Drosophila melanogaster: one gene and its partner. The protein of the gene in region 1 binds, or shares a complex with, the protein of each later gene. Each region holds a gene or a part of one and is shown in the gene's direction. Other genes may lie near its edges. The genes, in order: Nprl3 and Sec13.

Evidence for each region.
Region 2: Nprl3 (region 1) and Sec13 share a complex: the UniProt entries of both Drosophila melanogaster proteins name them as parts of the GATOR complex.

The regions. Positions count from the first base shown.
Region 1 is NT_037436.4:13,994,862-14,010,545, reverse strand, and holds Nprl3 (nitrogen permease regulator-like 3), read left to right. Parts: upstream 1-8,665; 5' UTR 8,666-8,756; exon of another isoform or gene 8,757-8,901; 5' UTR 8,902-8,919; coding exon 8,920-9,053; intron 9,054-9,112; coding exon 9,113-10,811; 3' UTR 10,812-11,166; downstream 11,167-15,684. Other genes in the region: upSET, read right to left, coding at 1-515, 829-2,696; CG17359 (uncharacterized protein), read left to right, coding at 11,364-12,383; CG17361 (uncharacterized protein), read right to left, coding at 12,708-13,340; CtsK1 (cathepsin K1), read right to left, coding at 14,076-14,686, 14,766-15,684. UniProt on the Drosophila melanogaster protein: An essential component of the GATOR subcomplex GATOR1 which functions as an inhibitor of the amino acid-sensing branch of the TORC1 signaling pathway.
Region 2 is NT_033777.3:23,345,906-23,361,391, forward strand, and holds Sec13 (secretory 13), read left to right. Parts: upstream 1-10,372; 5' UTR 10,373-10,760; coding exon 10,761-11,047; intron 11,048-11,492; coding exon 11,493-12,276; 3' UTR 12,277-12,626; downstream 12,627-15,486. Other genes in the region: PolE1 (DNA polymerase epsilon subunit 1), read left to right, coding at 2,286-2,356, 2,418-2,544, 2,607-8,815, 8,880-9,183; ATPsynCF6 (ATP synthase, coupling factor 6), read right to left, coding at 9,496-9,664, 9,729-9,880; RpS3 (ribosomal protein S3), read left to right, coding at 12,950-12,985, 13,249-13,953. UniProt on the Drosophila melanogaster protein: Functions as a component of the nuclear pore complex (NPC) and the COPII coat. At the endoplasmic reticulum, SEC13 is involved in the biogenesis of COPII-coated vesicles.

The DNA.
Region 1 (15,684 bases):
GTGTACCCTGGCTACCAGACACCGTGACACCAATACCGCCTAGGGACCATTGCTGCGGCTGCTGGACCTGCTGTGCTGCTCCAGGATTCGTCGTATCACCAGCCGCTTGCTGAGGCTGTTGCTGCTGTTGCTGTGAGGCGTACGTGTGATCCTGCATGATGGCATGCAGTTGCTGCAGACGTAAATCCTGCGTCAGCACTGGAACCGGGCGCACCTCTTCTATGTACAGCTCCTCATCGTTGGCATTCAGTTGATTGGGGCCCAAGGGATGCGCTTGTTGTTGTTGTTGTTGTGGCTGCGCCGGCGGTTGGGACGAACCCTTGACCAGAGCTGGCGAAGACGGTGGTGCTGCCTCCACGTGGACTGGAACGTTCACTGGTGTCAGGTGAAGTGGGGTAGCTGGCGTTGGAGTGGTCGTGGCGAATCCGCTTCCACTGTTACTTCGCGGGCCTGCGAGATTGCTCATACTGTTGCTTTGGGCCAGGTTATTGCTGCTGCCAACTATGCTATTCACGCTGCAATTGAAGAATTATAATTAGGAATTTCTATTTGATCTTTTTTGAAAATATGACAATTTGAAATCCGCCATTGACGAGACTATTTGTACTGCGACTGCAATAAAACTACTAACTAATTGGCCGATAGTTGTAAATACAAACTTTGACACTAGACAAGCTAACTATCGATGCCTTGCACCAAATTGACAATTATTTGAAACATCGATACATTTGACTAACTACTCGATTCTAAAACCGTTTACATTTAAAAGCCTCATTTAATGATGATTAATGATTTAATCTTATTTTTCTGTAAATCATTAACACTTACCCGTGCTTATTGTAATACTCGATGACCGTTGGCGCCTTTCGCCCGCCACCAATCACATCGTGCTGCAGTTGCTGGTGATGCTGCTTCCGCTCCAGAGACACCGCCCTGCTACTGGGCGCACTCACAGACTGGCGACGAGCTGCGGTTGCCGATGACATGTAGGAGGATATGGCCGCACTGCCACTGGCAAAGCCGTGCGATGAGATGCTCACCGACGGCGTTGTGGCCACTGTAACCGGCGGCGTACCAGTGACCGTGATGAACGAAGCGGAGGAGACCGGCTTTGTGCCGGCTGCCTGATAGTGGGCAAGCAGCATATTGCCGGATGCATTTCCACCCGGACTACTTGCAGCGGCCCCGTTGCTGGTGCTGTTGCTATAGATGATTTGGGTGGGTGGTGGCATGTTGCCGCTGCCAGTGGCGGGAACCTGATGGAATCTTTGCTGCTGGCTAAACGACTTCTGGGCCATGCTCTGCAGGATGCGGGCAGACAGTTCGTCGGTCATCTGAGTTCCATTGACGATCATAACATCATCGGTTATCAGTGAGGAGTTCGCTACAGCGTGCTGCTCATTGTCGCTACTCCCGCTACTGTTGTAGTGGGTACGCTTTGTTGCCTGCTGCTGTTGGGGGTGCTGCTGGATAACTGTGCCATGTGAGTTGACAAACTTAATAGTTCCTCCGACGGCGGCCTGAGACTGCTGCAGAAGATATCCTCCTCCGGTGACATTCGGCGACGCTTTGTGCTGCAGTTGCGTTCCCTGCGGTAGGCTGATCTGCTGTTGCACATACTTGCTATTCAGTTTAGTTACCTTCGCGGGTGTCGACGTGGTGACCATTGACTGTTTGGCGTAGGTAGTTTGCTGCTGCTGTTGGGGCAATGCAGCAATGGACAAGGCAGTCGTCTGTTTCACAAACTTTGCCTTGGCCCCCGCCTTGTAGGTTTGCTGCTGTTGCTGCTGCGTGATAAAGGTTTTTAGCTGCTGAGCCTGTAGTAGTTGCTGCTGCTGTTGTTGTTGCTGCTGTTGTTGCTGTTGTGACATATTGCTAACACTCTTGACCGTGATCTTTTGATTGGCCTTTTTGAGCAGAGCAGCATTCCCACCTATCGTTGTCGCCGTGGCATTCACATACTTTGGTTGCGCCGGCTGCACCATTATCTGCGACGGTGATGCCGGGACGTACGACTGGAGACGGGTTGCCACTCTGGAGCCCAAAGTCACTTTCTGTAGGGTAGCATGAGGATGTTGTTGCTGCTGCTGATGTTGCGCCTTAAATGCGCTGATGCTGCCAAACTTCTGGGGCTGCTGCTGCGTCTTAGCCGGCGACGCACTCACATACGGCAGACTCTTGGCTCCCAGATAGTTGAGCTGCTGCTGCTGCTGACCGGCTGCTCCTTGGACTGGTGCCTGTTTGGAGAGCACAGTGAGATTACTAAGCAACAGTTTGGAGTTGTGCGGTGGTGCCGCAGCTGATGCGTCAATGATGACGTTGCTGGTGCTACCGTCCGTGGTCACAATCTTGTAGATCTGGGGATTAATTAGCTCCTGACCGGAGCTCCCCGAAGAGGCTGCCCCCGCAGCTAAAGCTCCGGTTCCGGCTGCTGTACGCACCGCGTACTTTTGCGACTGATTGATCGACTGAGACTGGCTGGCGCTAAGGATCTGGCGCGTACTTATCGACATGCGACGTTGCATGATGCGCAGTTGTGCCTGTGTGGACAAGCTGCTGCCATCGATGACGATATGAGGGGGTGGCGGCTGTGGCCCACTGGCTACTCCGATGCGATTTATGCTGCTGGTGCTGCCGCCGCCACTGCTACTGACAGCAGGCTCCACGAAAACCGAGTCGTGACTGGACATGGGCATGGTGGTGGTGCTGCGGCAGTTTGGTCCGCTAACTAAAATTAGACGTGTGTTTACAGGGAAGGAGCCTTGGCTCGGCTTGAGAGTTCACTCTTTTGATAGAGTATGGTTTCGGTCTCGATTTAGTTTCTATTTCACAACACTACTTCACAGATAAAGCCGTCATGTTGCTGCCGGTTCTGCTGATGCAGATTCTGCTCCTGCTGTCGCTGGGCCTTTGTTGACGTGCCCCCAAAACATTGGGGGCTCAATGCATAACCTCTGGCTCTGGCACGGATGACGGAAGCTGAAACTCCCAGTGGTGACAACTGTAGGCGTAGGCGGTGGTGCGCGCTCGATTTGCATAGACGGTGTCCAACTCTGTGCCACATCACATTGTCAGCCATCACAATCATAACGCTGGGAGAGATTCGGCAACTTCCACTGCGTGCTCCCCGGCTTCTTCGCTTTTGCGTCCTTTGTTTGACTCCCTGTATACGGAGCCTTATCCTAAAGCTGATCCAATCTCGCAAAACTAATAGTCCCGCCCAATTGATATTGCGTTGTTGTCCGTCGTTGTATGTTGGATATTGAATTCTTTGGATACGGTCTTTCCATAAACGATATTTCGTTGTATCTGCAATGAGTAAAAATATAACTATTAAATATAGGCCATACAGAACTATTAACAATAAAAAGTACCAATTTAAAAATTAATTCTTAGCTGTTTTAAACAAAAACGTGGTAAACAAACAAATGTAAAATAATGTTAGAAAATAATTAAAGCAAAAAATTAAAACAAGGATGCATATCTTCGGATGTAAAGTTCAGATTTTATTTTCTAGTGTACCACGGGTACATTGCCTTTATCGATAAAAGTTAAGGAGCTCATCTCTATTATCCAGGAGTAGCATTGCCAACTGCAAATCAGATTTGAGTTATGTAACAAAATAAAAAGCACAGCACTGCCAACGGGCGCCAAAAATACGCATGCGCACTTCAAACATCAATATCCGCGTTTATTCTACGTATGTATTTTCGTCTACGCTTTCGGAATGTGCTTCGTGGTGGCTGCTGCACTTGCTGTAAACTTGAACGCAGCATCACGGAGCGGAAAAGTGGAAAAGCAGCGAAACAGCAAAGCAGAAACAGTGTGAAAGGTGCGCCAAAGCTAAAGCAACAAAGGGATTGTGCATTGTTTACACTTGTGTGCGTGTGCCTGAATACGTGGATGTGTGTAGGTGTAGTGTGACCCCCCTGGCCAATAAAAAAAAGCACTAACAACGTTTAGCACTTGTTCATTTGGCTTTTGTGGAAACAAGTTTTCCTATTTTGCTTTTGTTTATCCGCATCGCTGAAAGGCTAATGCAATTTTCCAACGCAATATGCGTCCCAAATCAATTAATAAACATTCGACTATTTTACAAGTTTGCTAACTTGATAAGCTTTGTAAAGGTTAAGATATTACATGTTCTTATACTATGGAATCTACTATTGGGTCACTAATAAATGATTTTTTAATAATTTAAAGACCTTTCATTTTCTATCATTGGAATCAATTTACTAAACGTTTTTAAACGCTTACACCTCAAAAAACGACCGTCTCTGAAAGATGTCGACATTTGCCAAGTACTGCCACTGTTCTCTAATTCTCTAATTTACTGCACATTCCGGGCGTTTGCCCCGTCATTCGCATTGCAAAGCAGAGAGCCAAAGCAAAAAAGCAAAGCGGAGCGAAAAGTGAATGCACTAATTTCGCCTTGGCATCCGGCGCGGCATTCATCGCTAGTAGTTTTCTTCTTCTTGTTTTTCTGTTGTCGTTGCTTTTGTCGCTGGCTTTTTAGTTTCTTGTATCTATTACACATTACACAGGCCACTTGCACTTGGGCATATCTGCCATATCCCACCTGCGTGTGTGTGCGACTGCTTGTGCGATTGTGCTGGCAGCCAATTTGCGCCTATTGTAGATACAGTTTCTAATTGGAATAGAGAATGGGGAGCAGCGCAATTGATTCCCCAATTGAATAGTAAATCTGGGAACGAAATGCTTATGTAACCATTGGGTTACTGCCTATAGATTGTGGGATACAAGATGCAACTACATATGTAAAGGCCACCACCAGGTTAATCGATAAAACTGATTTTTCAACTTCAAGCTGCGTTTTGATAAGCCAGGATGTTGAGCTTAGAACTCTTTGATAGTGACTGTGGTATGCATTTCTCATTTCCGTTACATGTTTTGTTTCATATTTCTCAATGGGCCACAAAAGATAACGCCACACATAGAGCGGTTGGGGCTGTCGTAAATTTTGATTTGGGTTACAAATACACACACTAGCATCGACGCTACATCTCAACATTTAGAAAGAATCTTACAATGCTCTTAGTTAAAAATACACACGAAAGAGCGAGGGGCGAAGGAGAATTTGGTTCGCTCATCGTCGGAAAGAAGGTGAACTACACTCACACACACGCACGTGTGCGGGACCAACCCTACCCCAACCCCAACAAATACTACAACAACAACAACAACAACATCCGCAAGTAAAATGCGCGCCATAAACAAATTACACACAAGCTCACACAATAAGCCCCATTCGCGCGCATTATCGGTTCGTGGGTGTGAGCAAGACAGCAGCAGATCCCCGTAAATCGTGCCTGCAAATGCACGTTGAAACTTATCGCGAGCACACAAACACATGAAAAGTGGCCACGGTGCTTTCGTACAGGGGCGGTTCCAAGGGGGTTCATTTGGGATATACATATGCGCCAAAATCTAATTCATTATATCAACAAAATATTATCGAAAGAATTAAGTTTTGTTTGCTGTTTTCTTTAAATTCCGAGAGCTTCCCCGCAAGCAGGATTTTTAATCCGCCACTGCTTTCGTGTCGTTTTTGTTGGGGATTTCTTTTTGTTGCTATGGCTTTTGTTGCATCGCTAGATGAAGTAGAACAAATACAAAGCTTATCGAGGCTCGCAGACGCACACATCTAAACGAGTGAGTCGAAAAGAGAAAGACTCCTATTGTGATCTACGGAATAAAAATGAACCTACAATTAAAAATAGTAATGCTGCTCATATTAGCTTGTTGACCAATGGACTACGTGACTGCACAATATCAGGGGCATTGCTTTGGCTGTACTTTCATTGAAACAGTCGCCAAGCGTAAAATGGGTTTTAGTTTTTGCATACCAGCTACAAAGTGTCAACTTTAATTGCGTCTTATTTTAATTCACTTGCTCGCTAGTTCTGGTCCGTCTAATTCGGTCAATTACTAATCAAGAATTGAGACTGCATGGGATTTTATTATGGATATTACACCATTAAAAAAATCTGTGGGGTTGGGAGGTGGTTTTAGGGGGTTGTGGCGGTTTGGTTTCGTTCCGCGACAACCTTTGAAATTATCGAATGGCTTAGCTTTCGCGAAATAATATTTTGACGATGGTCTTGTCTGCGCTGCGCAGAAAATAACGAAAGCCGAGCGCAGGCAAAAAGTTGTCTATCAACTTTTGCTTTCATTTTGTGGCGAAAATTCGCGCGTACAAAGCACAAGGCATAAATAACAATTGCAAAAATCACGTATGCGCAAAGAGCAGAACAGGAACATTCGAGCAATGCCTGTAAGCGAGAGCGAGACCACCATAGCTCTCCCCACACACACACTAACACTTAGCTATGTTAACTGCGGCCAACTTCACGGCGTACAGGCGTGTAAACGCTGGAGCACGCAATAAAAAGTTTGACGAAAACAGGGCGAAAGAAAATAAAATAAAAACTATATAGCTCTGTGCTAACATTCTGGATAATGGGAACAACATGGCGTCGTCGATATCGTTCAACTAATTCTCATCAACTTTAATTTCACTTTGCGGTCGATTTGTTGTTAAGTTTTTCCGACTAGCTGATGCGCATGTCAAAATTTTGGTAGAGACAACAAAAACACTGCACGGCATACACATTGCAATCCAAATGCGGAGGGGTGTGCCAAATCGAAATATGATTTTAATACTGATTTAGATAATCTCCTTAGAAACTCGAGCAAAACAAACTAAAAACAACTTGAAATTTAACAAAACAATTGCTTCGGGTTGGCAACTCTGTGCGAGGGGCATAATACGCACATCTACCTTCACGTTGCACAAAACGGAATCGAAAGCAAAACAAATGAACCCGCAAAGCTGTGCGAGCGAGCACGCTATACTGACGGTTAGTTGAAAAAAGAATATGCAATCAAATATGGCGACACACAGTATGCAAAAAAAAAAACCATACAAAATCGACGCATCAACAAATGAAATATTTATTTAACTGGCTCGACTCAAAATAAAATCTGAATTTCATATATATGTGATCCAATAGATATGTATAACCCATTCGACTGTATATTTTTCGATTCAAAATATTTCCGATTTGGGCGCGCACTCACATACAAACACACACACTAGTTTTACTCACCGTTTACTCTGTTATTTTGAATTTTCACTTCATTTTGCACAACTTAATTTAATTTAACGACAAGCTACGTGGTTTATTTTTTATTTCGAAACTTTATATTTCAATTTTATAAATACAAATTAAATTTGTATACACTTTAACACTGGTTCTTTTTTGTTCCGTTGCACATTGTTGATTTGCAGCATTTAAGTGATGGCGCGACGTTGTTTCGAACGTTTACTACCTGCACAAATTAAAATGTTTCTACTTTGATTAATCAATTTTATTATTATTAATACCGTATGGCACAAGAAGCAGAAGACAAAACGCGCAGGAAAACACATAAACTGGGATTGCTTAAGACGTGTGTAAGAGCGAGACGACCAGTCGGTTTGAGCAGACCATATAGCTAGTGTGACCGTTCTAGCCTATGGACAAGACATGCCAACTGACTATTATCGCCTATTTTATTTTGTTCGCCTGCCCTGCTTCTTCTTCTTGGTTTTTGTGTTGCGCTGTTTCCCTGTTTAGCCTATTACTACTGCGCCTGGCCATTCCGAAATGCTGTACGTACATATTTCGATTTCGCCTTTCCGCCTATTCGTTGATACCCACACAAACGTATATCTGTGCATGCCTTTCTACGTAGGTATGTGTAAAATCTATACACACGGATGTTGGCGCACATATACACAAAAAGTAAAATAGTTATGTTATTAACTATTTAACCACAAGCTATTTACATTTTAGGCACTTATTAATCCTATTTTCCAAAATACAAGGAATAGATACAGAAACGAAGACATAGTAGAAAAACAAACCTACAAGTAAATGACAATTAGTTGAAATTAACTTATTGGCCACCATACTGCCGAAGAGTGCGAAACTAATTCAGAAGCGAACCACTCAGCCAAGTAAACTATATTTTTTTGTAGAATTAGTTATACCTCTCCTACACTCACACAAATATTATATATATGTATATATAGACCGCGGCTAGTACACGTTTAGCGTCGTCTCGCTCCCACCTACGATCCGCACGTATTTTGCCTCTCACAATGTGTGTGTTTTCCTCTTTTCCAACACGCTAATAAGAAATCGTCATTTTTAAAAGTGCTTTTACAGCCAAACTAACATGTTTCACAGGGGAATTTCATAGTTCTGCGATTGCCGCGTTCGCATACTACGCTCCCAGTTATTTTCACAAATTTTTTGTTGACGTTTCGAGCACAATTTCCACACGTTTTGCTCACAACTTTCCGCTTCTAAAAAATTAGAGACTGACCAACCGAAGACGGTCACACTACAGCGGAGCGATAGATCGTTATCGCTCGACCAGGGATCCTATACTATTAGCCTTGCCGATATATATTTATTTATATAGTAAGACCGTTTTTCGTTTAGTATTTTTTAGTTTTTGAATATATTATCTAAGGTATCTATGGTAAATTTAAACGATTTAAAAAAATTCCATTGCGTTGCATTTATATTATTGTTTCGCCTGCAAAATGAAAACTGACATGACTACTATTTTAAATAAGTTTTTGGTATTTTATGCAAACTAAAAGAGAGCCACACTGCTGTAAATATATTTTATATTTTACATTTATTTACTTTGCTTCCATTTCTCAATGAAGTCAAATTGAGGTACTAATAAATAAATAAAGAGTTGTTGAGGTAGTTTCTGTAGCAAACTACGATTTATAAAGTATTTTTGAAAACATAGCCAACTATTTGTTGACCCTGACCCCAGTTGATAATGCAAATGTTCATATTTTAATTTACATAAAAGGGGAAGTGTCTGTGTGCCATGGAAACTAATGTGAATCCCCTGGCCGTAATCCTGGTTTACTTCGATAGCAAGGGGGATCGGTTACTGTACAGGTATCCGTACCAGACTCTCGGCCAAACGGAGGTGGCCAACGACGAGCAGCGGAAGTCCAGGTACTACCTATTAATTCAAAGGGCACTCAGCTTGACTATACCGATTTATTCAATCACAGAAAGCGCAATCCCTATGCCGTGGCCAATACGGACGATCTGCTGCAGACACCCACCCACTTGGGTGCTGCCAAGAGCCAAGGACAACTGCAGGGATTCGCAGATGAGGTCCTGTCCGCTCTGTTTGCTGTTAAACCACAGCTATGCAACCAAAAGTTTGAACTCAAACTGAACGACGTACGCTTTGTCAGTCATCCCACTCTGATACCGCAAAAGGAGCAGAGAAGTGGTCCAATGGCCAAGCAACAGATGCTCATCAACATTGTTTTTGCGCTGCATGCACAGGCCAGCTACTCGATTGTTAAGTGCTACCACGAACTGAGCAAGCGCCTTGGACTGGCGCTGAAGTTCGAGGAGCAGCGCAGTGGCTATCTCACCGAGCAGACGGCTCAAATGGCTCGCACACACGACGAGCAGCAGCAACAGCCGCTGGAACGCACACTGGAGCTGATTGCAGAGCGCTGCAGCTTGGCACAGGCCTTGCGCTCCATCTTCCATGATCTATGCACCACTGGACTGCTGAGTACCTCGCTGAATCACAACCTAACGTTGTGCTTCTGTCTGCCCGCTAAGGCACACCAGCTCCATAAGAAGGGCAGCATGGTGGATCCAGAGACCATAGATCGGTGCCTTCGTGCACTGAAGCCCTATCATGGCATGTTGCTGCTGGTCGACTTTGCCGAATTGTTGGACTGCGTTCCACCGACTGGGGCACGCATGCTATGGCAGCTAGTCGACGTCTACGACCCACTGATCAGTCTGCAGAGCATGTCCTCCAATGCAGACTTGAGTATCGAGCATGTTTATAAGCTCGTCTCGCATTTGGTCTACTGGGCTAAGGCAACTATTATTTATCCACTCTGCGAGACAAATGTCTATGTGATCGCGCCGGATGCACCATTGCACACCAAGTCCCACCTGGTGGAGAAGTTCTCGGCCCGTTTTGCCGGTATGTCGCTGTTCGAGGTGATCTCCGATTTTTCATTGCCCACTTCAATTGGACACTTAACCACGCCACTGCAGCAGCCAGCGCGACAGGGTATCCTCGCACAAATGGTGATTTGGATGCTGCAGCACCATTTGCTCATGCAGTTGCACACGTACGTTCAGTTTATGCCCAGCGAGGATGAATTCGGAGATTCGGCCTCCTGCAGCAACCATCTAAGGGATGCCATTAGCGATGAAGAAGGAGACCAAGAACCAGATGCGGACGAGTTGCATGGCTCCATGCTTAGCATGTCCAGTCATCCGTTGCCAGTGCCAGCGGTATTGGTGGGCGGACATCGTCGTGAGGCGTCCGAGGACCATTCATCACTGGCCTCGGACAACATCGCCGTGCAGCCATCATCCAGCCACAAGTCCAATTTCAGCATCACCGCCTCGATGAGCACGGACAATTGCGACAGCCTCGATTCCATGGAGGATGAGCAGAAGCTGAAGGAGCTGCTACAGGTTTTCAGCGATGCGGATCGAGCCGCCATCCGTCGAATTCCCGCCTCTGCCAACGTGGATGATCTATCTCTGCTTGTGAAGCTGTATCAGATGGGTTACTTTAAGAGCGAGCATCATCTGGAGGAGATCATGTACTTCGAGAACCTGCGACGTTCGCAACTGCTGCAATTGCTTGATAAATTCAGGGATGTGCTTATCATTTACGAAACCGAAGATCCTGCAATTGCATCCATGTACAATACCAAGTAGAGTTTGGGACGAATTTGCATTCCTAGATTTTAATGTTGAATGTTTTTGTTTAGTTTTTGAATATAATCTATAAAATAGGTATGCATCTAATTTTGTAAAGTTTGCGAAGCAAATCAATTTACGCTTGTAGACTACATATTTTGTTATTTATTTGTACAAGCAAGTTCTTAAGTTCAATTCAATTATTGTCAAACTATGTTTTTCCGTGATTTCATACAAATTCAAAAAATTACTCATATTCAAAACAGCGTTACATTTTAAGCTTCGCGCCCATTGTACAGCTTTAAGGTATATCGATAAGTGGGGAATATTCTGATGCTCTAAGAGCCAGATTAAAATAAAATATTTAAAAAATACGAAAAACCCATTTTTAACTTAAAAAAACAACTTTAAATCATAAATCAAAGCTGATAAATTAATAAGATGCGAAGCACAGCTGATTATTCGGTATTTTTTTGTTGGTATATTCCAGTGATTGGTATTTTAATAGTTGCATTTTGTTGATATTGTATATTTTTGATCCTGCCTACGAAACTCTGGAGCTCGGCCACGATGGACATTTCGCAAATGTGCCGCGTTTGCAGGGACGAATCCGACTGCCTGTTGGATATATATACAGAGCCATATGCCTCCTCCAATCGGGTCCAGGAGCAGGAGCCGGTCTTGGCCACAATGCTGAGGGAATGCAGCGGATGCAGCGTGCATAAGGAGGACGGAATGCCGCAGTTCATCTGCGTGGAGTGTGCGGAGGCCGTAAGAAATGCCTATCGGCTAAGACGGCAATGCCGAAAGAGCCATCAGTACTTTGAACAGCTGCGTCTGATGATGAAGGAGCTGGACGATATAGAGTATTGCCTGAATATAGGGGATAACATAGAACCACAGATGCCGGTCTCGGTAATGGAAGCTGGTAAAACGCCGGAGACATCCGAACCTCTTTTAGTTGAGCTTGTGCAGGTTAAGTACATGCCTCCAGAGCCGAAGCCAATATCTTCTCCTCTTCCAGACAACAATGAGCATAAGCTCGCGCAAAGTTATTCTCCAGCAAAGACGCCACACAATAAGTCCAAGAGGAGGGCGAGATCCTACTCGGACAATGACTCATGGAGCCCGGATAGTGAGCTTGAACACGAAGATGATGATAAAATCTGGAACGCCTCAAAACGGGGCAAACCGAAAAGGGTTCCCGGACCATATCGGTGCAAGCTCTGCACACAGTCGTTCACCCAAAAACAAAACCTAGAGATTCACATGCGCATACATACTGGCGAGCGACCCTACAAGTGCTCCCTATGTCCGCGATCCTTTGCCCAGAAGGGCAACCTGCAGAGCCACACACGTTGTCACACCGGCGAGCGTCCCTTCGGTTGTCCGAACTGCCCCAAGCGCTTCCGGCAAGTTGGGCAACTGCAAGTCCACACCCGGACTCATACTGGCGAACAGCCGTTCAAATGTTCCAAATGTCAGCAAAGCTTCAAGCAACTAAACGGCCTACAAAAACACATGTCAGCACACACGCGAGGGAAGCGACGGACGAGCAGCCAAGAAACAAAAAGAAATAAGTTTAAATAGTTAAGATTTGTTAAAGGTATTTTCATATATTGAATGTCCATATAATAATTTCTTGTTTGAAATCGACAAAGCTAGTAATCGCAACCAAAGTGAGAAAGCTGCTTAAAAACTGTTGTGAATCGATCCGATTATCATTTCTTTATTATCTTATTGTCAATATGAGAACATGAAATTGTTTTTAAAACTACACTCCATATGTACTTTCATTATTAGTCGCTAACTTGTTTCTACTTTAAAAATATATCGAACTTATTTTTAAAACGATGATACAAGATGATTAATTACTATTTTAGTTGGCTACATTTTGCCAAGCGTTGCCAAGGACTATTTAAGAGCTTTTCGTCTGGTCCTTGTGGATCCTTTGGTGTGGGTGCGCCTGTGCATGGTCAACTGGGCCTTGCCGGTGAAACTTTTTTGGCAGTCGGTGCATTTGAAGGGCCGCCTCTTATCCACCTCGTTGCGAGTCTCCTTCTTCGGCTGCTTATCGTTCCGGTCCCCATCGTCCTCCTCCTCCTCCTCCTCGCTCTTGATGCGATCCGTAAAATCCCAATCCTCGGCCTCCAGGAGATCGCATGTCTCCTTGTCGCTTTGCTCCCTCTTCACGCGCGCCACGTATTCCATGGTCCTTGTGTAGCGTCTCCTGAATCTCAAGGCCTCACGCAATTTAATAAGGCACGGTTCGCAAATTTTCAGCGGAAAGCCGTCCCCGGTATCCACTGGATATGCGCTGCAGATATTCAGCAAATCAGCCGGCGTGGGCTCCGGTTCCTTGGTTCGCTGTAGATCGTCGCTCAGTCTGTCCCCCAAGCTCTTGTTGTCGTAGATGTCTAGCAGGTCCTTCGGCTCGTCCATACACACCCGGCACATCTTCACCAATTCATCCATGGCTTCGTTGCTTCCTTCGATTCCAAGCAAATACAATTCAAAAAGAATAACTAAACTGTATCGGATGACCATCAAGCCAAAACAGAAAAATACCAATTGGCGCAATTCCAGGGATGCAACATCTATGCCAATAAATATGTATTTAAATTTAGACTTATTTGTTGTTATATCAAATTAACTTATAAATATATTATTTAAAATGAACAATTAATCTAAAATGAAATGTAGTAGCAGTGAAAATTGTAGAATCAGTTGAAAGTATTCTTCATGTTATATTTTTAATTTATTTTAATTGAAAAACTGTAAAACGGGTTTAATGTAAAAATTCAATGCTTTGCTTGCAAGTTTTTTAAATAAGAAGGTATACTTATTTTTAGAATCATTATTCAAAGTAAAGATTCTTAAAACTAATTATATGTTTAATTTAATATTGATGAAATTAAATGATTAAAATTTTTAAAAATGTAGCGAGTTTTTACTGTAGAAATGATTTCCACTACAAATGGCAAAGACCCCGATTCGCATAAAACTGTTGCAACTTGCGCAAAGTTCAACTGGTAACTGGTCATTGTCTTCTAGGCTTATCGGCTTATCGGCATGGAATTAACTTAAGAAACACCATGGACTGCGGAGATAATGACCCAAGCTAAACTTAGCTCCATTTCCAGCCAAGCGGAGCAGTGATAAGATTCAAAAGACTTGGATTACAAAAGAGTTTATGAAATGTATTGCATATTTAGCGCCCTGTGGGCGTAAAAATAAAAAGAGTACACAAAATAAGAAATATGTAGGCGGGAGCGGGACAATCTACATCTCCACATAAGTGGGCATGGTCATAACACCGCAATTGTTCTTCTTGGCCGACATCAGGATGTAGCCATCGTTGCCCCAGTAGGTGGACCACGAGTTCTTCACCAGCCAGTAGTCCTCTCCATTGATCGAGCCATAGCCCACGGCCAAGACAGCATGATCCAGTCCATCTACATCGTTCTTGCACGTTGGCTCATAGTAAACTCCGTGCGAGTAGAAGCTAAATGTCTTGGGAGAAGCATCAATGGCCACCGACAGAGGACCGTGCTTGAGCAGAGCCAGCTTGAAGGCATTTGGATCGTTGGAGGTCACATTGACGAATCCCTTAATAGGTGCCACCAGCGTCACGTTGTTGACGTGACAGTAGCCATCCTGGCCCAGATAGGGACCGTACTCCTCCTCCGTGGGCACTCCGCCGGACTGCAGCATCCACTGGTACACGCGGAAATCCTCGCCACCATCGCAGCCATTGTTGCCATAGGCCCACGAGCAGTCAATCAACGCCTGCTGGGAAAGCCGGACCAGATTGCCGCCATTCTTCAGGAAGAAGGCGCCCTCCAGGTGACCAATGGTGCCAAATGACCAGCACGATCCGCACACAGATTGATCTAAGGGTAGTTTACGTTTTAAGCAATTCAATATTATCAAATTCATCTAAGTAAGTACTTAGGGAATGAATGAACCCACCTTTCACCGGAGTGACAGCGCCGTATAGCCGCCAGTCGTACTGGTCGGGAATCTCGTCCTTGTACTTGGGCACATCATAGGGGAACGGTTTGCCGGTGTTGTAAATGCCCGATGATTTGTATCCTCGTCGTGCCTTCAACTCCTCTTCGGTCTTGTCGGCCAAGTGATTAACGGCCAGCGTGTAGGTGAGTTTGGCCCTGTTCTTTGAGTGGATGTAGCGCAGGTTCTGACGGAAGATGTTCTTGCGATGCTCGTGTTCCGTGTCGCTGTGATAAGCAACTCCGTGCTTGCGCTTGAAATGGTGGAAGGCCTTGTCCACATGCTCATCGGTTCCGGATATAAACTCCTGCATGGGATTGAAGGTGGCATAGTGACCGGTGCCGGGTCCGGGGAATCCGACGCACTGCAGGCTGTCATCGATCTCGAACACCTCGTTGGGAATATCATCGTGCTCGTAGCTGTCATAGTCCAAGTAGTAATGATCGTAGTGCGATCCCAGCAGGGTGTTATAGCCCCTCATCTCGTAGCGCACGGGAATGGGCATTCGGCTGGAGGGATAATGCGGCGACTTCTTGTACCGCACCCACAGCGTATAGATGTTCTTCTTTTGGCCAATTGTCGACTCCAGGCGGAACTTGTCGCACGTGTAGCCCAAAAAGGATTCGGTGCCCACCAGGCTGAAAGGTTTCGCATCGGGCAGGATGCTCTGAATATCGACAGCCTGGTCGGCGGTGCCATTCACCTGCAGACAGGTTAGCTTGTTGTTCTCCGTCTTGGTGGTAATCGGTGCCAGCTTCAGCAGGGTTCCGTACTGACCCTCGCCAGCCAGTTGGTATGTCTTCACCATTCCGCCGTAGTAATCGATGCGGGATCGCCTCGTATTCTTGTCATACCAGGCGTAGAAGGGTTCCGCAATCTC
Region 2 (15,486 bases), on another chromosome or scaffold:
AGAAATTGGTTTCCTGTGTTTCTGAACCGCGTTTTTTTTTCTGTTGCTGTTTGCCTTCCTTTTTTTGATGTATATTGCGCGCGCAGATCTTTAGATGTTTTGCTATTGCACTCATTCACTTACACACTGGGTTTTTGCTTGGCTTGCAAAGTGTTTTGCATTTGTTATTTATTTGTTATTTGATTCGTATAATTCATTCAAATCGAATTTACCGTAGCGCAAGTGCACGCTTCCCGAAAGAAAGACAAAAACAGACTGACCGACTGGCAACAGGCGGCAGCGACGCCGACGTTGGCGCAGACGCAGCGTTGACGCCAACGCCGACGCACCTTCTCTCTCCGTTTCTCTCTCTCTTTCTCTCCGCTGCTAAGATTAATATTTTTTTGTGTTGCTCTGGCAAGTGATAACAAAAATGGCAAATAATATGAAAATCGAGAGTTATATCAATCTGACTTATAAACATTATTCGCTATTTTACTTGATCGCTGGAATGAAAACGAAAAGGCGTGGGTGATCCTCAATCTCGCTATCTCTTTCGCACTCGCACTAGAGCGTGCATCATGAGCGCAAGAAAAAAATGGAAATCAGAATTACATATTTCGAGCAGCAAAAACAAAGTGTTTGCAGCGACAAAAAAATAGCAACAATTTATAAAAAAAATCTGCTTGCTCAGAACTCAGTGTAAGTGCGAATATGCGAGAGAGTGTGTGGGTGCGTGTATGTGTGTGTGTGTGTGTGTGCGGGCGATCGTTTTTGGCAAGCATTTAAACAGTGCCCAAAATCACTAGTATATTTAAAATATTTAGTATGCAAAGGGGGCGGAATAATAAAGACAAATATTTTAAAATTTGGCAGTCTCAGTCTTTCAATTGTGTACACTGATATAAAAATTTATTTATTTTGATTCTGGATTTTATACAAATCTATATTTTTGACAAATAAAGTAAATTGGTCAAAATATCAGTTCCAGCTTATTTAAAAGGAAAATTATACTAGTTTCTTTGTTATAATAATTAATAAAATATTTATTTAATATGAAATAATACCTATATGAAAATTTTGATGTGAGATTAAATTATCAACTTATTATTATCATTATTAAAGTTTGCACACAATGTGGGAAAGCTGCAGCTTGGGAAAATACTTTTGGACACCCCAAAAAAAGTTAAGCGCGATATTTTCCCACCGTGACCATGACAACCACTGTGCGTTCGAAAGGCTCTCTCTCTCTCTCTCTTTCGCGCAAATCAAAAACACAAACAGGTTTATGTGTGCGGAGAGTGTGTGCGACAGAGAGCGGCGATATGGAACTGAAACGACTGCAATGTTTTTATATTCCGGCAACGCATTTCGCATAAATTACAAATTACACAGCATAAGTGAATGCAAGTGCAGGGGCGGCAGTCAAATGGCCAGCTGCACCCAGAAAAAGGGCAATAAGATTCGGGATAACAAAACTTGATGGCGTTCCCGATTTTCCCGGCCAAGGGAGCGTATATGTACACATAAAAAAAAAAAACTTAACCAGCCTTGCATAACGAAACACGTGCAATAAAAATATGGCTGATTGTCAACCTCTGCTGCAACTTAATTGCTGCCGCAGAGGTAAAACTGAAAAACATAAAAGGGGGCGACAAGTGCAGCAAGCGAAAAAAAAGAACTCAAAGAGCGCATGCGCGCCGCTCTCCCACTCTCTCTCCCTCTCTCCACTGCGCTGGAATCTTACAACTCGTGTAGGTGAGCCGGATTTTTATGAATGAATGCGCCTGTGTGCGTGACTGCATGATGCCATTGCAGCGGAGAACTAGTAGAAAAAACTTCACATTTCAGCAGTTGGAAAACACATGGCCAACAGGCCAACTCAATTGGCCAGCAGCTGTCCTTAAATTGTCAGCAAATAGGGCATTTAATGCCCATTACAGGAAAATTATAGCTAAAATGGTCAAGCTGTGATGAAATAAACATAAATATTATATTTTATGATTTCATCAGATTTTAAGCATTATTTTTTTAATTTGTGTTAGGTGGAACTACAAAGCTAAGAATAATTGAGGATTTCTAGGTAAAACTTATATTCTTAAAACCATTTAATAATTTTCTTGTTTTCTTTTATTTGTAGTAACATTTTGAAATTGGCGCCAAACGTGTTACTTTACAGTGCTGTGCAACAGCTAAATGTCAGCATTCTCTGCAACGCGTTAGCACATTTCTGAGACGTTTGCAGATTTTTGGCGGCAACAAGTTATTTACATTTATTTATTTTATTTCTGCTAAACAGCACGGAAATGTCCGACTCCAGCAAAGGCAAAGTGCTGCAAAATACGGGTAAATTCGTCAGCGAGAATCGCACAGAAGGGTGAGTGGTCAAAGTTCGTGAATTTCACGCTGAACAAGATATTTTCCAATCTTATCCACAGCGACGACTTCTTCAATGAGGCGGGCTATCGTCAATCCCGGGAGAACGATAAAATCGACTCGAAATATGGCTTCGATCGGGTTAAGGACAGCCAGGAGCGGACGGGCTACCTCATCAACATGCATTCGGTAAGTTAGGAAGCCCATAAAACGTTGAAAATCATGTCCAATAATGGCTATGCCAATTGCAGAACGAAGTTTTGGATGAGGACAGAAGATTGATTGCTGCCTTGGACCTGTTCTTCATCCAAATGGATGGTTCCCGCTTCAAATGCACGGTGGCCTATCAGCCATATTTACTCATCCGACCAGAGGATAATATGCATCTGGAAGTGGCGCGATTTCTGGGTCGCAAGTATTCCGGCCAGATTTCTGGACTGGAGCACATAACCAAAGAAGATTTGGATCTGCCCAATCATCTATCCGGTTTGCAGCAGCAGTACATAAAACTTTCGTTTCTCAATCAGACAGCCATGACCAAGGTTAGAAGGGAACTCATGTCCGCGGTGAAGAGAAATCAGGAGCGACAGAAATCCAACACATACTACATGCAAATGCTGGCCACCTCGCTGGCCCAATCCTCCGCAGGTTCCGAGGATGCCACATTGGGTAAGAGGCAGCAGGATTACATGGATTGTATTGTGGACATAAGGGAGCATGATGTGCCTTACCACGTCAGAGTGTCCATCGATTTGCGCATCTTTTGTGGACAGTGGTACAATATCAGGTGCAGAAGTGGCGTGGAATTGCCTACGATCACCTGCCGACCGGATATTCTGGACAGACCCGAGCCCGTGGTCCTGGCCTTTGATATAGAAACCACTAAGCTGCCCCTTAAGTTTCCCGATGCCCAGACGGATCAGGTTATGATGATCTCGTACATGATCGATGGTCAGGGTTATCTGATAACCAATCGTGAGATTATATCATCCAATGTGGACGATTTTGAGTACACTCCCAAGCCGGAATTCGAGGGTAACTTTATAGTATTCAACGAAGAGAACGAGATGCAGCTGCTCCAGCGCTTCTTCGATCACATCATGGAGGTGCGTCCCCACATCATTGTTACATACAACGGCGACTTCTTCGATTGGCCCTTCGTGGAGACGCGTGCTGCAGTGTACGATCTGGACATGAAGCAAGAGATTGGCTTCTCCAAGCTACGGGATGGCAATTATCTAAGTCGCCCTGCCATACACATGGATTGCCTATGTTGGGTGAAACGAGATTCTTATTTACCTGTTGGATCTCAAGGCTTAAAGGCGGTGGCCAAGGCTAAATTACGCTATGATCCTGTGGAACTCGATCCGGAGGATATGTGCCGCATGGCCGTGGAACAGCCCCAAGTGCTGGCCAATTACTCTGTATCCGATGCGGTGGCCACATACTATCTGTACATGAAGTATGTGCATCCATTTATCTTCGCCCTAAATACGATTATTCCCATGGAACCCGATGAGATCCTAAGAAAGGGTTCCGGCACACTCTGTGAAACGTTGCTGATGGTGGAGGCTTACCATGCCCAGATTGTGTATCCCAACAAGCATCAGAGTGAGCTGAATAAGCTCTCCAACGAGGGACACGTACTGGATTCGGAAACCTATGTGGGTGGTCATGTGGAGGCTTTGGAATCGGGTGTTTTCCGGGCGGACATACCATGCCGTTTTCGTCTAGATCCTGCTATGGTCAAGCAACTGCAGGAGCAGGTTGATGCAGTTCTGCGCCACGCTATCGAAGTGGAGGAAGGCATACCGCTCGAGAAGGTCTTGAATCTGGATGAAGTGCGGCAGGAGATTGTGCAGGGGCTACAGGGTCTGCACGATATACCCAATCGCTTGGAGCAGCCGGTCATCTATCACTTGGATGTGGGTGCCATGTACCCCAACATTATTTTGACCAATCGCCTGCAGCCCTCGGCAATGGTTAGTGACTTAGATTGTGCCGCCTGTGACTTCAACAAGCCAGGAGTTCGGTGCAAACGTTCCATGGACTGGTTGTGGCGCGGCGAGATGTTGCCCGCCTCCAGGAACGAGTTTCAGCGCATTCAGCAGCAGCTGGAGACCGAGAAGTTTCCACCCCTTTTCCCTGGCGGACCACAGCGAGCCTTTCACGAGCTCTCCAAGGAGGATCAGGCGGCGTACGAGAAGAAACGTCTGACGGATTACTGCCGCAAGGCTTACAAGAAGACCAAGCTAACCAAATTGGAAACGCGCACTTCGACCATCTGCCAGAAGGAGAACAGCTTCTATGTGGACACGGTGCGAGCTTTTCGCGATCGTCGCTACGAGTACAAAGGACTAACCAAAGTGGCAAAAGCATCGGTGAATGCTGCGGTGGCTTCGGGAGACGCGGCAGAGATCAAGGCAGCCAAGGGCAGGGAGGTGCTCTACGATTCCCTGCAGTTGGCCCACAAGTGCATCCTGAACTCCTTCTATGGCTACGTGATGAGGAGAGGAGCCCGTTGGCATTCCATGCCTATGGCCGGCATTGTGTGCCTCACGGGCTCGAATATTATCACCAAGGCGAGGGAAATTATCGAGCGAGTTGGTCGACCACTCGAATTGGACACTGATGGTATATGGTGCATATTGCCTGGCTCCTTTCCGCAGGAGTTTACCATTCACACGAGCCATGAGAAGAAAAAGAAGATTAACATATCATATCCGAATGCAGTGCTAAACACTATGGTTAAAGATCATTTTACCAACGATCAGTACCACGAGTTGAGGAAGGATAAGGAAAACAATCTACCCAAATACGATATTCGAGATGAGAACTCTATATTCTTCGAGGTGGATGGACCCTACCTTGCCATGGTGTTACCCGCTGCCAAAGAGGAGGGCAAGAAGCTGAAGAAAAGATATGCGGTCTTTAATTTCGATGGCACACTGGCTGAACTCAAGGGATTCGAGGTGAAGCGACGCGGTGAACTGCAGCTGATCAAAAATTTCCAGAGTTCCGTCTTCGAAGCTTTCCTCGCTGGTAGCACACTTGAGGAATGCTATGCATCTGTGGCCAAGGTGGCGGATTACTGGCTTGATGTACTCTACAGCAGAGGATCAAATCTACCCGACTCGGAGCTATTCGAACTTATTTCGGAGAACAAGAGCATGTCCAAGAAGCTTGAGGAGTATGGCGCCCAAAAGAGTACGTCCATCTCCACGGCCAAGCGATTGGCTGAGTTCCTGGGCGAGCAGATGGTAAAGGATGCGGGTCTGGCTTGTAAGTACATTATTTCGAAGAAACCCGAAGGAGCACCCGTCACCGAGAGAGCTATTCCCTTGGCCATTTTCCAATCCGAACCGAGCGTGAGGCGACATCACCTGCGTCGCTGGCTTAAGGACAACACCATGGGCGATGCGGATATACGCGATGTGCTCGATTGGAACTACTACATAGAGAGATTGGGTGGGACCATTCAGAAGATCATAACCATACCGGCGGCACTGCAGGGACTGGCCAATCCAGTGCCCAGAGTTCAGCATCCGGATTGGTTGCACAAGAAAATGCTGGAGAAGAACGATGTGCTCAAGCAGCGTCGCATCAATGAGATGTTCACCAGCAGACCCAAACCGAAACCTCTAGCCACAGAGGAGGACAAGCTGGCCGATATGGAAGATTTGGCTGGTAAAGATGGCGGTGAGGGTGCTGCAGGCTGTCCGATAGTCACCAAGAGAAAGAGAATCCAGCTGGAGGAGCACGATGACGAGGAGGCACAGCCGCAGGCCACCACTTGGCGTCAGGCCTTGGGCGCTCCACCGCCCATCGGTGAAACCAGAAAGACCATCGTTGAGTGGGTGAGATTTCAGAAGAAGAAATGGAAATGGCAGCAGGATCAGCGCCAGCGTAATCGCCAGGCGAGCAAGCGAACTCGAGGCGAGGATCCGCCGGTGGTCAGAGCAACAGGATCCACAGCTACACTGGGCGGATTCCTTAGACGTGCACAACGCACCCTGTTGGACCAGCCGTGGCAGATCGTACAGTTGGTGCCCGTCGACGACCTGGGCCACTTCACTGTGTGGGCCTTAATCGGCGAAGAGTTGCACAAGATCAAGTTGACGGTACCGAGGATTTTCTATGTAAATCAGCGAAGTGCAGCTCCTCCAGAGGAGGGTCAACTTTGGCGCAAGGTCAATCGAGTTCTGCCACGATCCAGACCTGTTTTCAATCTCTATCGATATAGTGTGCCCGAACAGCTCTTCCGGGATAACTCGCTGGGCATGCTGGCGGATCTGGCGACGCCCGACATTGAGGGCATATACGAGACGCAGATGACGTTGGAATTTCGCGCCCTCATGGACATGGGCTGCATTTGCGGTGTCCAGCGCGAGGAGGCACGTCGCTTGGCCCAATTGGCCACCAAGGATCTGGAAACATTTAGCATCGAGCAGCTGGAGCAGCGGCCCCAGACTCAGGTCAAATATTTGGCTAGCGCCAACAATCGATTGCGCAAAATCTACTTGTATCAGCATAACACACCGACGGCCAAGAAGGAGATCTGGTCACTGATCCTAATGCCCAGCAAGAAGGCATTTGTTTTTGCCTTGGACACAGTGCGTGCCAATCAAATGCCGAACATGAGGCAATTGTATACCGCCGAGCGTTTGGCCCTGCTCAAGAATCTGACGGCAGAGGAGCAAGATAAAATTCCTGTAGAGGATTACACATTTGAGGTTCTCATTGAGGTGGATGTCAAACAAATTTACCGGCACATACAGCGGGCACTGACCACCTACAAACAGGAGCATCAGGGACCCACCATTCTGTGCCTTCAAACGGCGCTGTCGGCGCGTAAACTCAGCCTGGCCATGCCGATCCTGCTGGAGTTTCCCCAGGCTGAGATTCATATCTCCGATGACGCTAGTTTGCTTTCTGGCCTTGATTGGCAGCGACAGGGCTCCAGGGCAGTGATACGCCACTTTCTGAATCTGAACAATGTTCTTGATTTGATGTTGGATCAGTGTCGCTACTTCCATGTGCCCATTGGCAATATGCCGCCGGATACTGTGCTTTTCGGAGCGGATCTTTTCTTCGCTCGCTTGCTGCAGCGGCATAACTTTGTGCTGTGGTGGTCGGCGAGTACCAGACCAGATTTGGGTGGCCGGGAGGCGGACGACAGCCGGCTGTTGGCGGAATTCGAGGAGAGCATTAGTGTGGTGCAAAACAAGGCCGGTTTCTATCCGGATGTTTGCGTGGAGCTGGCTCTGGATAGCCTGGCGGTGAGTGCCCTGCTCCAATCGACTAGGATTCAGGAAATGGAAGGCGCCTCATCTGCCATTACGTTCGATGTGATGCCGCAGGTCTCGCTGGAGGAGATGATTGGCACTGTTCCGGCGGCCACCTTGCCGAGTTATGATGAAACGGCCCTCTGTTCCGCCGCCTTCCGCGTTATGCGCTCCATGGTGAATGGTTGGTTGCGAGAGGTATCCATCAATAGGAACATCTTCTCGGACTTCCAGATCGTGCACTTCTATCGATGGGTGCGCTCCAGTAATGCACTACTCTATGATCCTGCTTTGAGAAGATCTCTGAATAATCTGATGAGGAAGATGTTCTTGCGCATTATAGCCGAGTTCAAGAGATTGGGCGCCACCATTATCTATGCGGACTTTAACAGGATTATCCTTAGTTCGGGTAAGAAAACCGTTTCCGATGCCCTGGGCTATGTGGACTACATTGTGCAAAGCTTGAGGAACAAGGAGATGTTCCACTCCATCCAACTGAGCTTCGAGCAATGCTGGAACTTTATGCTCTGGATGGACCAGGCAAATTTCTCGGGAATTAGGGGAAAGCTACCAAAGGGAATCGATGAGACAGTGTCGTCAATAGTTTCCACTACCATGATACGGGATTCTGAACGCAATCAAGATGACGACGAGGATGAAGAAGAGGATTCGGAAAACCGTGATCCAGTGGAGAGCAACGAGGCCGAGCAGGATCAAGAGGATGAGCTGTCCCTGGAGCTCAACTGGACAATTGGCGAACATCTGCCCGATGAAAACGAGTGCCGCGAAAAGTTTGAATCCCTGCTGACCCTCTTCATGCAATCTTTGGCTGAAAAGAAGACCACCGAGCAGGCCATCAAGGACATCTCACACTGTGCGTTCGACTTTATCCTGAAGCTGCACAAGAACTACGGCAAGGGCAAGCCGAGCCCGGGCCTAGAACTTATCCGCACTCTGATCAAGGCGTTGAGTGTGGACAAAACGCTGGCGGAGCAGATCAACGAGTTGCGCCGAAATATGCTGCGTCTGGTGGGGATTGGTGAGTTCTCCGACTTGGCTGAGTGGGAGGATCCCTGCGACAGTCACATCATCAACGAGGTCATCTGCAAAGCGTGTAATCACTGCAGGGACCTGGATCTCTGCAAGGACAAGCATCGCGCCATGAAAGATGGAGTGTGAGTTACACAAACCAGTACACATAATTTACCACAAATAATTGATTAATGTTGGATTTTTCAGACCCGTTTGGCTGTGTGCCCAGTGCTATGTGGCCTATGATAACGAGGAGATCGAAATGAGAATGCTGGATGCACTGCAGCGCAAGATGATGTCCTATGTGCTGCAGGATCTGCGCTGTTCGCGCTGCAGCGAGATCAAGCGCGAGAATCTGGCAGAGTTCTGCACTTGCGCTGGCAACTTTGTGCCCCTCATCAGCGGGAAGGACATCCAGACACTGCTGGGCACATTCAACAAGGTGGCTGCCAACCACAAGATGCAGTTGCTCCAGCAGACTGTTCATCAGGCGCTGACCACGCCACGCTAGGACCTAGTTTGTTGTTGTTTTCTAGATCGTAGGGCTTAAATATATTGTATTTATAATGGAATTTAATTCGATTTTAATGAGTTTTGAGTTTATGATGTCGCACAAGACGAATGTCTGTGTTAAGGAATGGACGCGCTTTATAATTCAATGAGATTCACACACTTTTAGTGGCTTTCGCATACGAATCGCTTGTTGTTTTCCCGATTTTATTGGTTTTTTTTGTTGACTTGCCCGCGGTTTTTGGGGGCGCACAGGCGAAATCAGCAGCTGAACTTAAAGCAATTAGACTAACTCATTCGCGAAGAGCGATCTCTACTGTGGGGCCTGGGTGATGGGATCGACCTTAACATCGGGGAACTGGAATTCGGGGAACTTCAGCATGTCGGTCTTGCCATCGCTGCCAAACTGCTTGGCCACACGGTCCAGTTCGGTCTTCAGCTCCCGCTCAATATCGGGATTGGAGTCCACCAGCTTGCCACCGCTGCAGGTGAGCAAAACAAGGATTATGTCGAGGCACACCAACGGATGAAGGAGCCAGAACTTACGCGCTCTTCTGCTTGTACTCGCGCACTTTGTCCAGGAACAGCTGCTGGATGGGATCGGAGGCCTTGTTCAGGGCAGGGGCAACGATTCCGAAGTTACGACGGGCCTCTGTGCGCAGGACACGCATGCCACTCAGCAGGGATTGCGACAGCATCTGGAATTGATAGATCCTTGTTAGAATAGCAATAAACGGCCTTCTTCATATGTAACCTTAAAAAGGTTATGTAATACAATTGTTTGTTTCGACGTTTCCCAATCGGTTTTCAAGCCGACTTTGCTAGCAACTTTATCTTGTATTCAAATTGTATTCCCTCAATCAATTTTTATGTATTTTAAATCTTGTTTTCACCTTATTTTCCTTTGCAAATGCTAACTTTCGTGCGGAAAAGTTACAATTGTCAGTTCACAATGGCAGTTGGTGTTAGTGATGTGCGCGTGATGGGTGTATGCGATACTATTGGACGTAAGCTTTTTAAATAGTAAGGGTATTTCCTAAGCTGATTTTTTGCTTTATCCTGTATTTGTCAGCTGTATCATATAGATTATATTCGTTGCGAACAAGAATTTTAATCAACAATCCGTTTAAATTACTTGCCTCTATCGAAATACAGCCTATAATAAAAATATTACAAATTATGAAAAGCTAATTTATACACTGTGTCTGTTTATGTATCTTACTATACATGTCCAACTTAAATCAAAACTGCTCCATAAACGTTCATACCAAAACACCACCTAAACTGTATCTAAAATCCCACACAAGCCAAAACCCGATCTAAATTGAATATAATTAATAAATTCTTGTTTTACTATAATATGAATATGAATAATATGAATATGAACTAAAAACTTTGAAATTATTCTATCTCATCTATGGACTAGAGTGACCATGTGATCAATTGCAAGTGTAACCATCAGCCACTGCCGCGCTCAGGTCACACTGCTCAACCAGGTTCCACGTCAAGCGCCGGAAAAAAACACGACTTGCATTTAATCAATTTATCTGGCGACCGGACGAACGGATTTCGAGCAAGATGGTGAGCCTGCTGCAAGAGATCGACACCGAGCACGAGGACATGGTCCACCACGCAGCGCTGGACTTCTACGGCCTACTGTTGGCCACCTGCTCCTCGGACGGCAGCGTCCGCATCTTTCACTCGCGCAAAAACAATAAGGCGCTCGCCGAGCTCAAGGGACACCAGGGACCAGTGTGGCAGGTGGCCTGGGCACATCCCAAGTTTGGCAACATACTGGCATCGTGCTCCTACGACCGCAAGGTGATCGTCTGGAAGTCCACAACGCCCCGGGATTGGACTAAGCTGTAAGTAAACGGGCACACCCATACCAACAAAGTTATGTTTGTTTTAGGAATCGACCAGGGGATACCCATTGTTAGGACCTTGATTAATAATAATACTTTAATAGCTTGATCCTTGATTAATAATAATACTTTAATAGCTTTGGAAATCATTATTTTAATATTTATGCTTGGACGTCTTGTATCAAATGTAATTTATCATTTATAATTGTTTACATCATGGTATTGAAAATATTTAACAAGAAGAATCAGATCTTGTTATAATAAATATATATAAATATATATATATGTTGGTGTCCTTTAAATTGTTCCCTCTGTCATAACACAATAAAATACTCTCTTATTGACGAGATTACGAGGTAGCAATGCGCCATGTCATACTTATGTTTAGATTTCCGTTATCATTTAAAGAGTGCCACATCTAACCTCTGTGCTTGCCACATTTCAGCTACGAATACAGCAACCACGACTCCTCGGTAAACTCGGTGGACTTCGCGCCATCCGAGTACGGATTGGTGTTGGCCTGCGCCAGTTCGGATGGCTCGGTATCGGTGCTCACCTGCAACACGGAGTACGGTGTGTGGGATGCCAAGAAGATACCGAATGCGCACACGATCGGAGTGAATGCCATCTCGTGGTGCCCCGCCCAGGCACCAGATCCAGCATTTGACCAGCGCGTAACTTCGCGTTCGGCGGCCGTAAAGCGCCTAGTGAGCGGTGGTTGCGATAATTTAGTGAAGATTTGGCGGGAGGACAACGACCGCTGGGTGGAGGAGCACCGACTGGAGGCGCACTCGGATTGGGTGCGCGACGTGGCCTGGGCGCCGTCGATCGGATTGCCCCGCTCGCAGATTGCCACGGCTTCGCAGGATCGCCATGTGATTGTGTGGAGCAGCAACGCAGATCTATCCGAGTGGACCTCGACTGTGCTGCACACATTCGACGATGCCGTGTGGAGCATCTCGTGGTCAACCACCGGCAACATTCTTGCCGTCACCGGTGGGGACAACAATGTCACATTGTGGAAGGAGAACACGGAGGGCCAATGGATCCGCATCAACTACGAGTCGGGTACGGCCATCCAGTCGAAGCAGCCCTCGCACCTTCCGCATTCCCACTCCCAGCAGCAGCAGGCGCTACAACAGCACCAACAACAGGCGCCATCGCATCCAGGTCCTTCCTCCGATTCGGAGCATAGCTCGAACCTGTCCAACTCGCAGCTCTCCAACTGAGCCAGCCCCGAAATATTGTCGTGCTGAAGTCGTGGTTAAAAGTGTTACTTTACAAATATATATATACGAAATACTATTTAATGTGCCCCTTTAAACGCTGTTTAGTGTATGTTTATTTGGACTTCATATGGGATCCCTATTTGAATCTTCTGAAATTATAATGAATTCTAAAGACAAGTTTTTGTCGAAATGGTATCATTTTTTTTAAGTTTTATCAAATATATTTGCAAATTGTAAGTAGTATGTATTTAAAAATAATAGTATAATAAGATTTAAATAATTAACCAAATTTTATTCAAACTTATTATTTTTAACCATACAGATAAATTCCAAAACTAAAATTTTTACACAATTTTTGAATGTCACTTTAGGTTTGTGTACAAGCTTGTTGTAATCTAGTTTCCGAACCATGTCTGCCTAGTACTACTGTGAATCAATTTAAGTAAAAACGAGGCAGAAACAGCAAATAGCTAAAAAACATTTTAAATTAATGAATATTAAAAGTAATTAAAATAAATTGTTTAATTCAGTAGTGTATAACTGTAATTTTTGGAAACCAAATTGGTATATAGTGGTATTTATTTCCAGACCGGGTGGTATTTTTTAACGTGTCTCGCGCGGGCACACTGGCCTCTTTCTTTTCTGCGCACCACGTTTCCGATTCGACGTCAAAATGAATGCGAACCTTCCGATTTCCAAGAAACGCAAGGTAATTGGGGAAAAATGAGACAGGATTACCTCCGGCATGTAATGCAGTGTCCGTACGTTCGTTGTTTCATCGGAGTTGTGTGAAAAACCCGGCCGGAAAGCGCGAAAATCCATCGGCTTCGGAGTTAACCTCAAAGCAGATGGGCGTCCCAAAAACTTTGGAACTCAACAACGCGTGGTGAAACAACAACAACAAGAAGGAGGATTGCTAGGTGTGCAATAGATGTGGAATGCGGATTATAATGGTTTCTTTTTGCTCCCCAGTTCGTTTCCGATGGCATCTTCAAGGCTGAATTGAACGAGTTCCTGACTCGCGAACTCGCCGAGGATGGCTACTCCGGCGTGGAGGTCCGTGTGACCCCCTCTCGCACTGAGATCATCATCATGGCCACCAAGACCCAGCAGGTGCTGGGCGAGAAGGGCCGTCGCATTCGGGAGCTGACCGCCATGGTGCAGAAGCGTTTCAACTTCGAGACCGGACGCATTGAGTTGTACGCCGAGAAGGTGGCCGCTCGTGGCCTGTGCGCCATTGCCCAGGCTGAGTCGCTGAGGTACAAGCTCACCGGAGGACTGGCCGTCCGTCGTGCTTGCTATGGTGTGCTCCGCTACATCATGGAGTCGGGAGCCAAGGGCTGCGAGGTCGTCGTGTCCGGCAAACTGCGTGGTCAGCGTGCCAAGTCGATGAAATTCGTCGATGGCCTGATGATCCATTCGGGAGATCCGTGCAACGACTATGTCGAGACCGCCACCCGTCATGTGCTCCTCCGCCAGGGAGTGCTTGGTATCAAGGTCAAGGTCATGTTGCCCTACGACCCCAAGAACAAGATCGGCCCCAAGAAGCCGCTGCCCGACAATGTGTCCGTTGTGGAGCCCAAGGAGGAGAAGATCTACGAGACGCCCGAGACCGAGTACAAGATCCCCCCGCCCAGCAAGCCACTGGACGATCTGTCCGAGGCGAAAGTTTTGTAAACCTAGTTTTACTGTTCATCCAATGAGCGACTAGCTGAAAGAGTTGCCCTCAAATACAACAAAACAACAGAAACAAAACAAAAACACATAATAATTCAATAAACAAAATCAATAAGTAATAACCCACTTGTGCAGTGCAGTGTAGAGTGCGAGGGTCAAACATAAAGTTGTGTCTGTCCGATATGCAAACCTGTTTTCCAAAAGGAAAGGATAGCTTTTGAAACTCAGGCTAAAAATAGACTTAGTCCCTCACCACCTCGCCACTATGATTAATAAATATGAAACAGTTTGGCCACAAGAGTTGCTTACCTTCCCATTTTATCAGAATAGGAATGCTTAATTTGAACAGATTTAAAAATTAGATGAAAATTTCAAAAGCATTTATAAATAGTTTGATATAAAATGTAATGTTTGAAGAGTAGAGATCTAGAGTTTTATCAGCATCTGTCTTAAATCCAGGGTATCACGACTTCGGCTGTGCCAAATGCATCTTACATTCTGGTTTCGCATTTTATTTGCATTTCTTGTGAAGCGGAAATCAGCGATTAAAACGGCTCACATTTTGTCCAGTTGTCTGCTGATTTATGAGGCTGTCCTTCGGGCAACATGAGTGTGTGTCCGGTGTGTCCGCGAGTTTCTGGGACCGCTGATGATAACCCGCTCCTCTTATTTATCATGTTGATATGTTTATTTCCCAGCTGGCACAGTGACACGGCCGCAGGGCAATTGCAGCGTGAAAATCAGCAATCGTTCAATTTATCAACATTTGCGAGATTATAACAGCCAGCGCGGGAGAAAGAGATACTTTTTTTTTTTTTTTTTTGTATCTTTTGCGCTCGAACTCGAGTTCGTGCCCGTTTGGAGCGGCCTGAAATCGCAGCTGCAGCACACGATCCTCGATCCCGATGACAAATGGCCACATGCAAGACTCCTCCATGCCCGCTGCCTCCACCTTCAGCCAGATGATGAGGAGGTGGAGCAAATTTAGGAGGAGGAACTGGCGGCTTGTCTCGGCGGCATCACGCATCAAGTTGCGATTTGCGCCATAAATCTAAATTAGCTGGCTGGTGGTAGGAATCGGCGCAGTTCCTGGTTGCACTATGGCACTATTGCTATGCATTACCTGGCTCCTCCACTTGCCCCAATCAATTAGGTGCACATAAAAGCAGACGAAACAAATTTTGCTGGCCATCTCGCGCGTCTGTCTGTGCGACTGTGAGAAATATTTTCCCAGCCGCAATTGTTCTGTCCATTGTTGTAGTTGCGGTTCATTTCAACGCTGGCATAAATCATACAGAACCTTTTAAACACGACTTTGAACGTATGATTTCAACACAATTTGTAAATAAATTAGATCGTGATTATGGCAACATCAATATCGCCAGCAACATCAGCATCTGCAGCAGCAGCAACAACAACGGGCATCCCCGCAGCAGCAACATTATTAACCGGCCAATGTGTTGTGGCATGTGTGGCAGCCATAGCTCTCCTACTAACTATATATATATATATTATAATGGCCATAACAACAAA